2 linked regions of the Arabidopsis thaliana genome follow. The protein of the gene in region 1 interacts with the protein of each later gene in a pairwise test. Each region holds a gene or a part of one and is shown on either strand. Other genes may lie near its edges. The genes, in order: AT2G14510 and BASL.

Region 1 (3,933 bases):
TCGATCAACACTCCTCTGAAACTGGAACTCAAAATCGTCTTTAACTTCCTTTTTCTTATCTTTTGCTCCAAAATGTCTCCTTATCTCCATTATCGTCCCACTGCATAGAATACCTGAAAAGACACTAAAAAGACTCGAGAAATAACATAAAGACTCAAAATCCTATACCTAAAACATAGATGAAATCAGTGAAAATAGGGATATATCAAGTCCCACTTTAAAAACACCTCTCTCTCTCTCTTCTCTCTCTCTTCTCTCTCTCTTCTCTCTCTAAACTTTTCAGAGAGAGAGAGATTTTGATCGAGATTTAGCCGTCCGGTACGCTTTACCGGCTTATGAATCCGGATGTGATCCGGTTTTGTCGATCCATCTCGCTGTCCTATCTCGCCATCAGGTGTATCCGGCGGTTCTCATGGCTATTCTGTTGCCGTTGTGTTTGTTTCACCGAATTGATTTGCGAAACAATTTGATATCAGTTTTTTCTTCTTTTCTAACTAGAAAGTTTCATGGTCTATTCTCGATCTGTCCCACCACCATCCACAATCAGGTAAGTGTTTTGGTGTTTCGATTGGGCGACTGTTTTAGTCTCATCCACATGAATCAAAATTCAGATCTGGGCGAATTATGGGTTGCTTGGCTCCTTCCAACCGTTATAGTTGAAACGGTCCGGCGTTTTTGACGGTTTCAATCACCTCATTTGAGGTCCGTCTTGCCATTCCAAGAAGTCAAGGTATCAATTTCCAAAGTCTATTCTTATTAGCAAGTGATGACAAGAGATCAGAAGCTTCACCTCGTCGTTGATTGTTTGTCGACGACTTCTTTCATGCTTTTGTTTTCGGAAAAGATCCAGTGATGAGAAGAGAAAGAATTTGAAGATTAAATTGAATCCTTTATCTTTTTCGGTTTAATAGCTGTCTGTTTTCATAATCCGGAGATGTTTCCGGTTGTTCACTCGCTGGAAATTGTGTCAGCTTCTGTTTGCATATTTCGCTGAAGGGGTTGTGGGTACCGGTTTACTAGGTTATCCGGTTCACCCGGTTTGTAAGATTGGTTTATGAATAAATATCCCTTTGAGAAAAAATCAAATAATAATCAAACTTATGGATATATAGAAAACAGATAAATAATAGAAGACTAAATTTTAATTATATAGTTGTATTGTTGGAGATGGATCCTAATCGGAAATATCAACATGCATGTACCAATAAAAATAAGGCACGTCCAATGTTGAACTAATCGTCTCAGCCAAGTAGAATAAATTTGATGGGATCTTATGGTAAGACTTTTTCGAAGTGGGAGTATAAAATCTTATAAGTGTGTCACGTCAAAATTATATAAAAGTGTTGGTTGTAGTATGTAAATGTTTTTTCGTTGAGATTTTAAAAAGTTTTGATGTAATGTGTAATTTCATTATACTCCCAACAAAATATTTTGTACATGAAAATTTGTTATTTGTTTAACAACAAAGAAAGAAAAATTGTTTTTGAAAGCAGCAAACATACATACAGGGTTGGACCACGAACCTAATATAATCATGCATGTATGTTTACTGCTTAAAAAAGTATTTGAAAACATAAGCAGCAAATATACTTTTTCATTTTAAGAAAGAATTTGAAAGCTATAAAATCTATTATTTTAATAGAAAATATATTTTTACGTTTTAAAAAAAACTGAAAATATATAAAGTCTAATTATACAATATATAGTGAACTTTGATAAGTAATTAATTAACATAAATATCTTATTTTCTAACCGTCTAATGGGACAAAATATTGTGTTTATCAATTATGAATGTTTTTTTTTTTTTGTATATATTGAACCTAAACCAAATTATCAAATATCAAAGCACTTCTAATTTCTTCGTATTAAACTTTCCAAACTAATATTAATTTATTACACTTCCATGACAACAACTAGGTTTTAAACATATTATTTTAGACTGTTATTATTTTCAGCCACTGATATTAATTTAGCTCATTTTCTATTTGGAAGTGACGTGTCCATATGTTGACATTGTCAACTTTGTACTTTAAGTTCTCATAATATAATGTGTTAAGACTTTTTGGTGTGTTTGAGTTTTTGTTTGGTTGAGAAATGAGAAGTAGAACAGAATCAAGAATGGAGACTCGTAACAAGTTTATGCTACTCGCTTGTGCCACTTTCTCCATTATGTCTCTTGTTAAGTCTCAAAATCAACAAGGTATTTTTACTGTTTTACACTTTTTCATTTTGTTTCCTTCATGTTTTTGATATATGAATTATCTCAAACAAAAGAAATCTTGTTCCGATTGTTACTTATTGTTTGACCAGGATTCATCAGTTTGGATTGCGGATTACCGTCTAAAGAATCTTATATCGAACCATCGAGTAATTTAACATTCATATCAGATGTCAATTTCATCCGAGGAGGAAAAACTGGTAATATCCAAAATAACTCACGTACAAACTTTATCTTTAAGCCATTCAAGGTTTTGAGATACTTTCCGGATGGAATTAGAAACTGCTACAGTTTGAGTGTGAAGCAAGGCACAAAGTATCTAATCAGGACTCTTTTCTATTATGGAAACTATGACGGTCTTAATACTTCTCCGCGATTTGACCTCTTTCTCGGTCCAAATATTTGGACAAGCGTAGATGTGCTAATAGCGGATGTAGGTGATGGAGTTGTCGAGGAGATCGTTCACGTCACAAGGTCTAACATCTTGGACATATGTCTCGTCAAAACAGGGACAAGTACACCAATGATATCAGCCATAGAACTAAGACCTTTGCGATATGATACTTATACTGCTCGAACCGGTTCCTTAAAGAGTATGGCGCACTTCTACTTCACCAATTCAGACGAGGCAATACGGTATGTCAACAACATAACAGAATACTTTATATTTAGTACCATGTGTTTTTTTTTTTTGCTCATTGACATAAACTTGATACTTGAGTGTCGCAGTTATCCCGAAGATGTCTATGATCGTGTTTGGATGCCATATTCACAACCGGAATGGACTCAAATAAACACAACCCGGAATGTAAGTGGCTTTTCGGATGGCTACAATCCGCCACAAGGTGTAATTCAGACCGCCTCCATACCCACTAATGGCAGCGAGCCATTGACCTTTACATGGAATTTGGAATCCTCTGATGACGAAACTTATGCTTACCTTTTCTTTGCTGAGATCCAACAATTAAAGGTCAATGAAACTAGGGAATTCAAAATTTTGGCGAATGGTGTTGATTACATTGATTATACTCCATGGAAGTTTGAAGCAAGAACCTTATCCAACCCTGCACCACTAAAATGCGAGGGAGGGGTATGTCGTGTGCAGCTGTCAAAAACACCGAAGTCGACTCTACCACCACTAATGAATGCTATAGAGATTTTTAGCGTCATACAATTTCCACAATCGGACACAAATACGGATGAAGGTATGTAGCCGTGTAGTTTTATGCACATATATAAAACGTAATAAGTTGGCACTTGGGAGACAACCATATTAAATGCTTTAGTCTACGGCTTAAGAGGATGTACGTGCTTAGGCTCAGAACCTCTTAGTTATTCAAAAGAATAAAGTAGTAATAAAATACGGCATATTTTATGCTTGATTCTTTTGTTTGCCAGTCATTGCTATCAAGAAAATTCAATCAACTTATCAATTGAGTAGAATCAGCTGGCAGGGCGATCCATGTGTACCTAAACAGTTTTCATGGATGGGTGTAAGCTGCAACGTTATAGATATCTCCACACCACCAAGAATCATCTCATTGTAAGAAAATTTATATTGTACATATTGTTATCAAATTATATGACAAATGTATCTTTGATATGTCATGCAAATAGAGATTTGTCTTTGAGTGGATTAACTGGAGTTATATCGCCTAGCATACAGAACCTAACTATGCTTCGAGAATTGTACGTATCTACATAATTTGAATTAA
Region 2 (3,933 bases), on another chromosome or scaffold:
AAAATAAAATAAATATAAGGTATATCTTTATATATACAAGTTTGACCACTTTTCCTTCGGAAGAATTCTATTTTCTAGAAAGAGCAATTGCTCAAAACTCCTCTCGCTATTTTTATTTCTGTGCAACAAAATATATCCACCTTTCTCACTCCGAAACTTTTTTTTTTTTTTTTTCACTCAGAAACTTTAATTTCACCATATAATTTGGGGTTTAGAGCAATTTTTTTTTTTTTTTTGGTGTGGGTAATACACGCCTATTGTGGTCGTATGACCCCCCCCCCCCCACATGGCCACATGGTTTCCTTTTCACGTCTCTTCACACTCAACCACGAGGTCCACAATCGCACATATGAGTATATATGACCCATGCACCGGTAATCTAAAAGAGATATTAAAAATAAGAATAATTACTTAATTTTAGTAAATATTAAATACATTTTTAGCATAATTATATACATTTATAAACTAAATTTAAATTTTATATAAATTGAGGTTTATTCGAGTTTGGTTAGGTTTATTTGATATAAAACTTTATGTACCGTCCAGGTTATCATAAAATTATGTTCAGTTTTCATTGATGAATTTCTGCTCGTTTTTGTTTTTATGCCCACCGGCCATGATCTTCACAATCACTTTATATTTTGAATTATATAAAGATTTGGGTCATTTTCATAGAATTTGAATCGAAATCCAACAAAGCTCAGAAAATTGTAGAAAATCAGATATCTATTGTAATTTAAGATGGACCAAACAATGAAAATCTGTAGTTGATGGAATTTGATCATCCTAAAGCCACATGAGATGATAGTCTTTCATCACTCAAGAAGGCCAGACCAGTAAACTACTACAGGAGACTCTTTACATAATGAGATTCGAAAAACGAGTCTGTCGTAGGCCATCCAGCAGATCATTCATATAAAATTAGATCTCTTGAAAGATTTTCTTTACATCTTTTCTAATAAGGAACTGTAGTTTTATGAAAGAGGGACCTTTAAGAAATTCCATAAATTAATGAGGACACATGTCTCAGCTTATATGTCTATAAATTATAGAATATGTATGTATGCGATACTCCAAAAAAGAAACAGAGTGGAGGTAGTTAGATGATATTTGGCAGCTAGCATAAAATGGTAAACAAATGAAGCGAAAGATTTAACACATTTTCTTATTTAGTGTTTGGTGTATATATAGTACTCGATTATGCAAAGCCACACTTTACAACAAATCATGTTTGGTCGTGAATCATGTGCTTTATAGTGGACCCTTCTATTTTATACGCCCATGCATTTCATGTTGTTGAGTATATGTGGTCTTTTGCCCCCCCCCCCCCAAAAAAGGAATAGAAAAAAAGAAGAAGAGTATGTGCTCAATCTAGTAAACAAACGCAACGAAGAAGGTGAATTTTTTCTGTTAAAAAAAGATATTCAAAAGAAGGAGAAGTTCATGTTATATAGAGTTGAATTCAAAAACAAATAACGGTTTCTGATTAAGTTTTAACCAAATATATTGAATTTATCAAACATGAAACAACGTATTAGCAATTAACATGCCCCCAATCATAAATCTCTAACAAATCGCATGGACACATAGAAAACAGAACTTTTGAGGGTTGTAGCGAGGGTAGACCTCAATGTCCTTGTAGCTGCACATATTAGGACTCAATTGCTTGCAACTTACTTGGTGACCACACTGACAACTATCGGATCGTTGACGATTAGGCACAAGCAAAAGGTGTACATCAAGTGGATCTTAGTCTTACTACTCTTTTAATCAGATAATCTGATAATGGGCTTCATATATATATATATGGGCTCATGAAGATTCCTTGGTTATAATTTTCATTTAAAATAATAAATAAATAAAAACTCATTTCAAAAACTCTTTTGCCACCATAAATGACATCCATGTCTCTAGCCAACGTTCCATTGGCTATGCCGTCTGCTTGACACACGAAAATTGAATTAGTAAATTGAAAGATGAAAATGGAAAATGAAAAAAAAAATTGAATTTCATATAGCAGTGTTTAATAACTATGATAGCATTTACTGCCCAATTATTACAATTCCAGAATAAAAATGTTATTTCCTTTTATTCCAATAATATTAAATGCATTCATGTGTTGCACATTGTAACCCCCCTTCCCTAATTCATGGCAATCTATTTCTTGTCTCCATTTTTTTTTTCAAATTTCAAATCATTCTTCTCCCTCATAATAAATTCTTTATCTCCCTTCTGAAAACATTTCTTGAAAAAGCCAAAACACTCACACTCATAAAAAAAAGCTATTTCTCGTGACAAAGAAACACAAACATAACAGCCATGGCTTCACAGTGGACAATACCAAAACTTGTCACTTGGAGAGTCAGAGATTGGGCTTCTTGTTTCTTGGCTTGCAAGATTCCTCTAGGTCTTCTTCTATTCTCTTCTTCCTAATTTCATTACTTTTTTCAATCATTGTTAAGTTATTTTACCGATTATATGTATCAGACGGAGATGAAGATGGAGCTAATAATAATGGAAACACTACGAACAACAATAATCTAACGTTCAAAAGGATTAAGAGGAAGATTAAAAGTACTAAGAAGAAGAGATCAGAGAGGAAACTCAGCCTAAGCCCACCAGGTACACGTCATCATCATCTTCATCTAAGAAGCAGTAGCGTTTCTCCGACGACGTCGGGGTCTCAGCACCGGCGCTTGAGCTGGCCTCAGCCCCCTGTCTCAGAAGAATCTGGATTCATTGTCTTCTGCTTCGATCGCGAAGATGGTGGTTTCGATGTGGTTAAAGAGGGTAAACAAGAGAAGAAAGAGACGGAATCGTCCTCGGAAAAGTCACCGAGGACGGTGAATCGTAAGGTTCGTTGTCCGAAAATCAAAATTGTTTTAAAAAGTTTTGACCTTTTTAGTTTGAAACATAGCAAACTACAAAGTTCTTAATGCTTTTATTTTCAAGAACAGCTTATATATGGAGACCAAGGAGTAGGAGGAACAGAGAAGAATAACTCGCCGGAGACTAAAGGGACAGAACAAGATCAGAACGATAACACTTCATGTCAAGGAACTAAAGATGTCTCTAGTGATGTTACAGAAGTAATGCTTCGTAACATCTTTCAACTTCAAAGTATTTGAGAATTTAACATTCTTATTTATATATTGGTCTTTGACTGTCGCAGAGAACCAAAGAAGAAGAAGACATTGATGCCTCTGATAAATCTAGCGGGTCTAGTCACTCAGATGAAGGAAGGGGATCTTTTGCATTTCCCATGTGAGTTTCAATAACAACAAAAGAGTTTATAACATTTTTTGTTTGGAAATAAATGTTTCTGATAATTTGTACAATTTGGGATTGAAAATTAATGCAGATTAGGAGTAGAGTGGATGGGGAGTCCTGCTAAGATGCCTGAATCAGATGACTTGTCTCCCAAGAAACAAAAGCCAGTTGCTTTAGGGTTCCAATGTTGTAGATTCTGAAAAAGATAACATCCTACAAGTTTATCCAATTCTTTTGTTTTACTCTGTTTCTGACTTCAGAGTAAAGAAACACTCTTAAAGGACATAGAATCTACAATCTTGATAAGACACGAATTCAGATGAAATCATCAGTATCCTCATGTCTTGATGGTTACACATATCTATATATCTGTTCTGAAATTTGAATGTATGTCAAGAAAAATTAGTGTAAATTAGTATCAAAACTCAAAAGATAGAAGTGACTACAAGTAAGTATCACAGCTTCAACATACACTACTCTTGCTTTTTCCATAAAACAAGAGGTGAATCTTTTAAATTTTGAAACTTATGCAAATTTCAAAATATTCAAAGTAATAGAATACTAAAATTACCTCAAATTTCAAGTTAGATTTTGAGTTTCCCTTCTAAAACTTTCTGCTCTTTCTTCACCTTGTAACTAATTTAGTACTATACATATTTAAAT

Evidence for each region.
Region 2: the proteins of AT2G14510 (region 1) and BASL interact in a protein complementation assay, tested with the Arabidopsis thaliana proteins (one large-scale study listed by BioGRID).

Annotation. Positions count from the first base shown.
Region 1 is NC_003071.7:6,173,238-6,177,170, reverse strand, and holds the start of AT2G14510 (Leucine-rich repeat protein kinase family protein), read left to right. Parts: upstream 1-2,075; 5' UTR 2,076-2,094; coding exon 2,095-2,200; intron 2,201-2,310; coding exon 2,311-2,854; intron 2,855-2,947; coding exon 2,948-3,423; intron 3,424-3,616; coding exon 3,617-3,761; intron 3,762-3,835; coding exon 3,836-3,907; intron 3,908-3,933.
Region 2 is NC_003076.8:24,488,090-24,492,022, reverse strand, and holds BASL (breaking of asymmetry in the stomatal lineage), read left to right. Parts: upstream 1-2,186; 5' UTR 2,187-2,319; coding exon 2,320-2,407; intron 2,408-2,487; coding exon 2,488-2,855; intron 2,856-2,957; coding exon 2,958-3,089; coding exon of another isoform or gene 3,090-3,128; exon of another isoform or gene 3,129-3,172; coding exon 3,173-3,264; intron 3,265-3,361; coding exon 3,362-3,470; 3' UTR 3,471-3,734; downstream 3,735-3,933. UniProt on the Arabidopsis thaliana protein: Regulates asymmetric cell division (ACD), especially in stomatal-lineage cells, probably by modulating accumulation and subcellular polarization of POLAR and SPCH.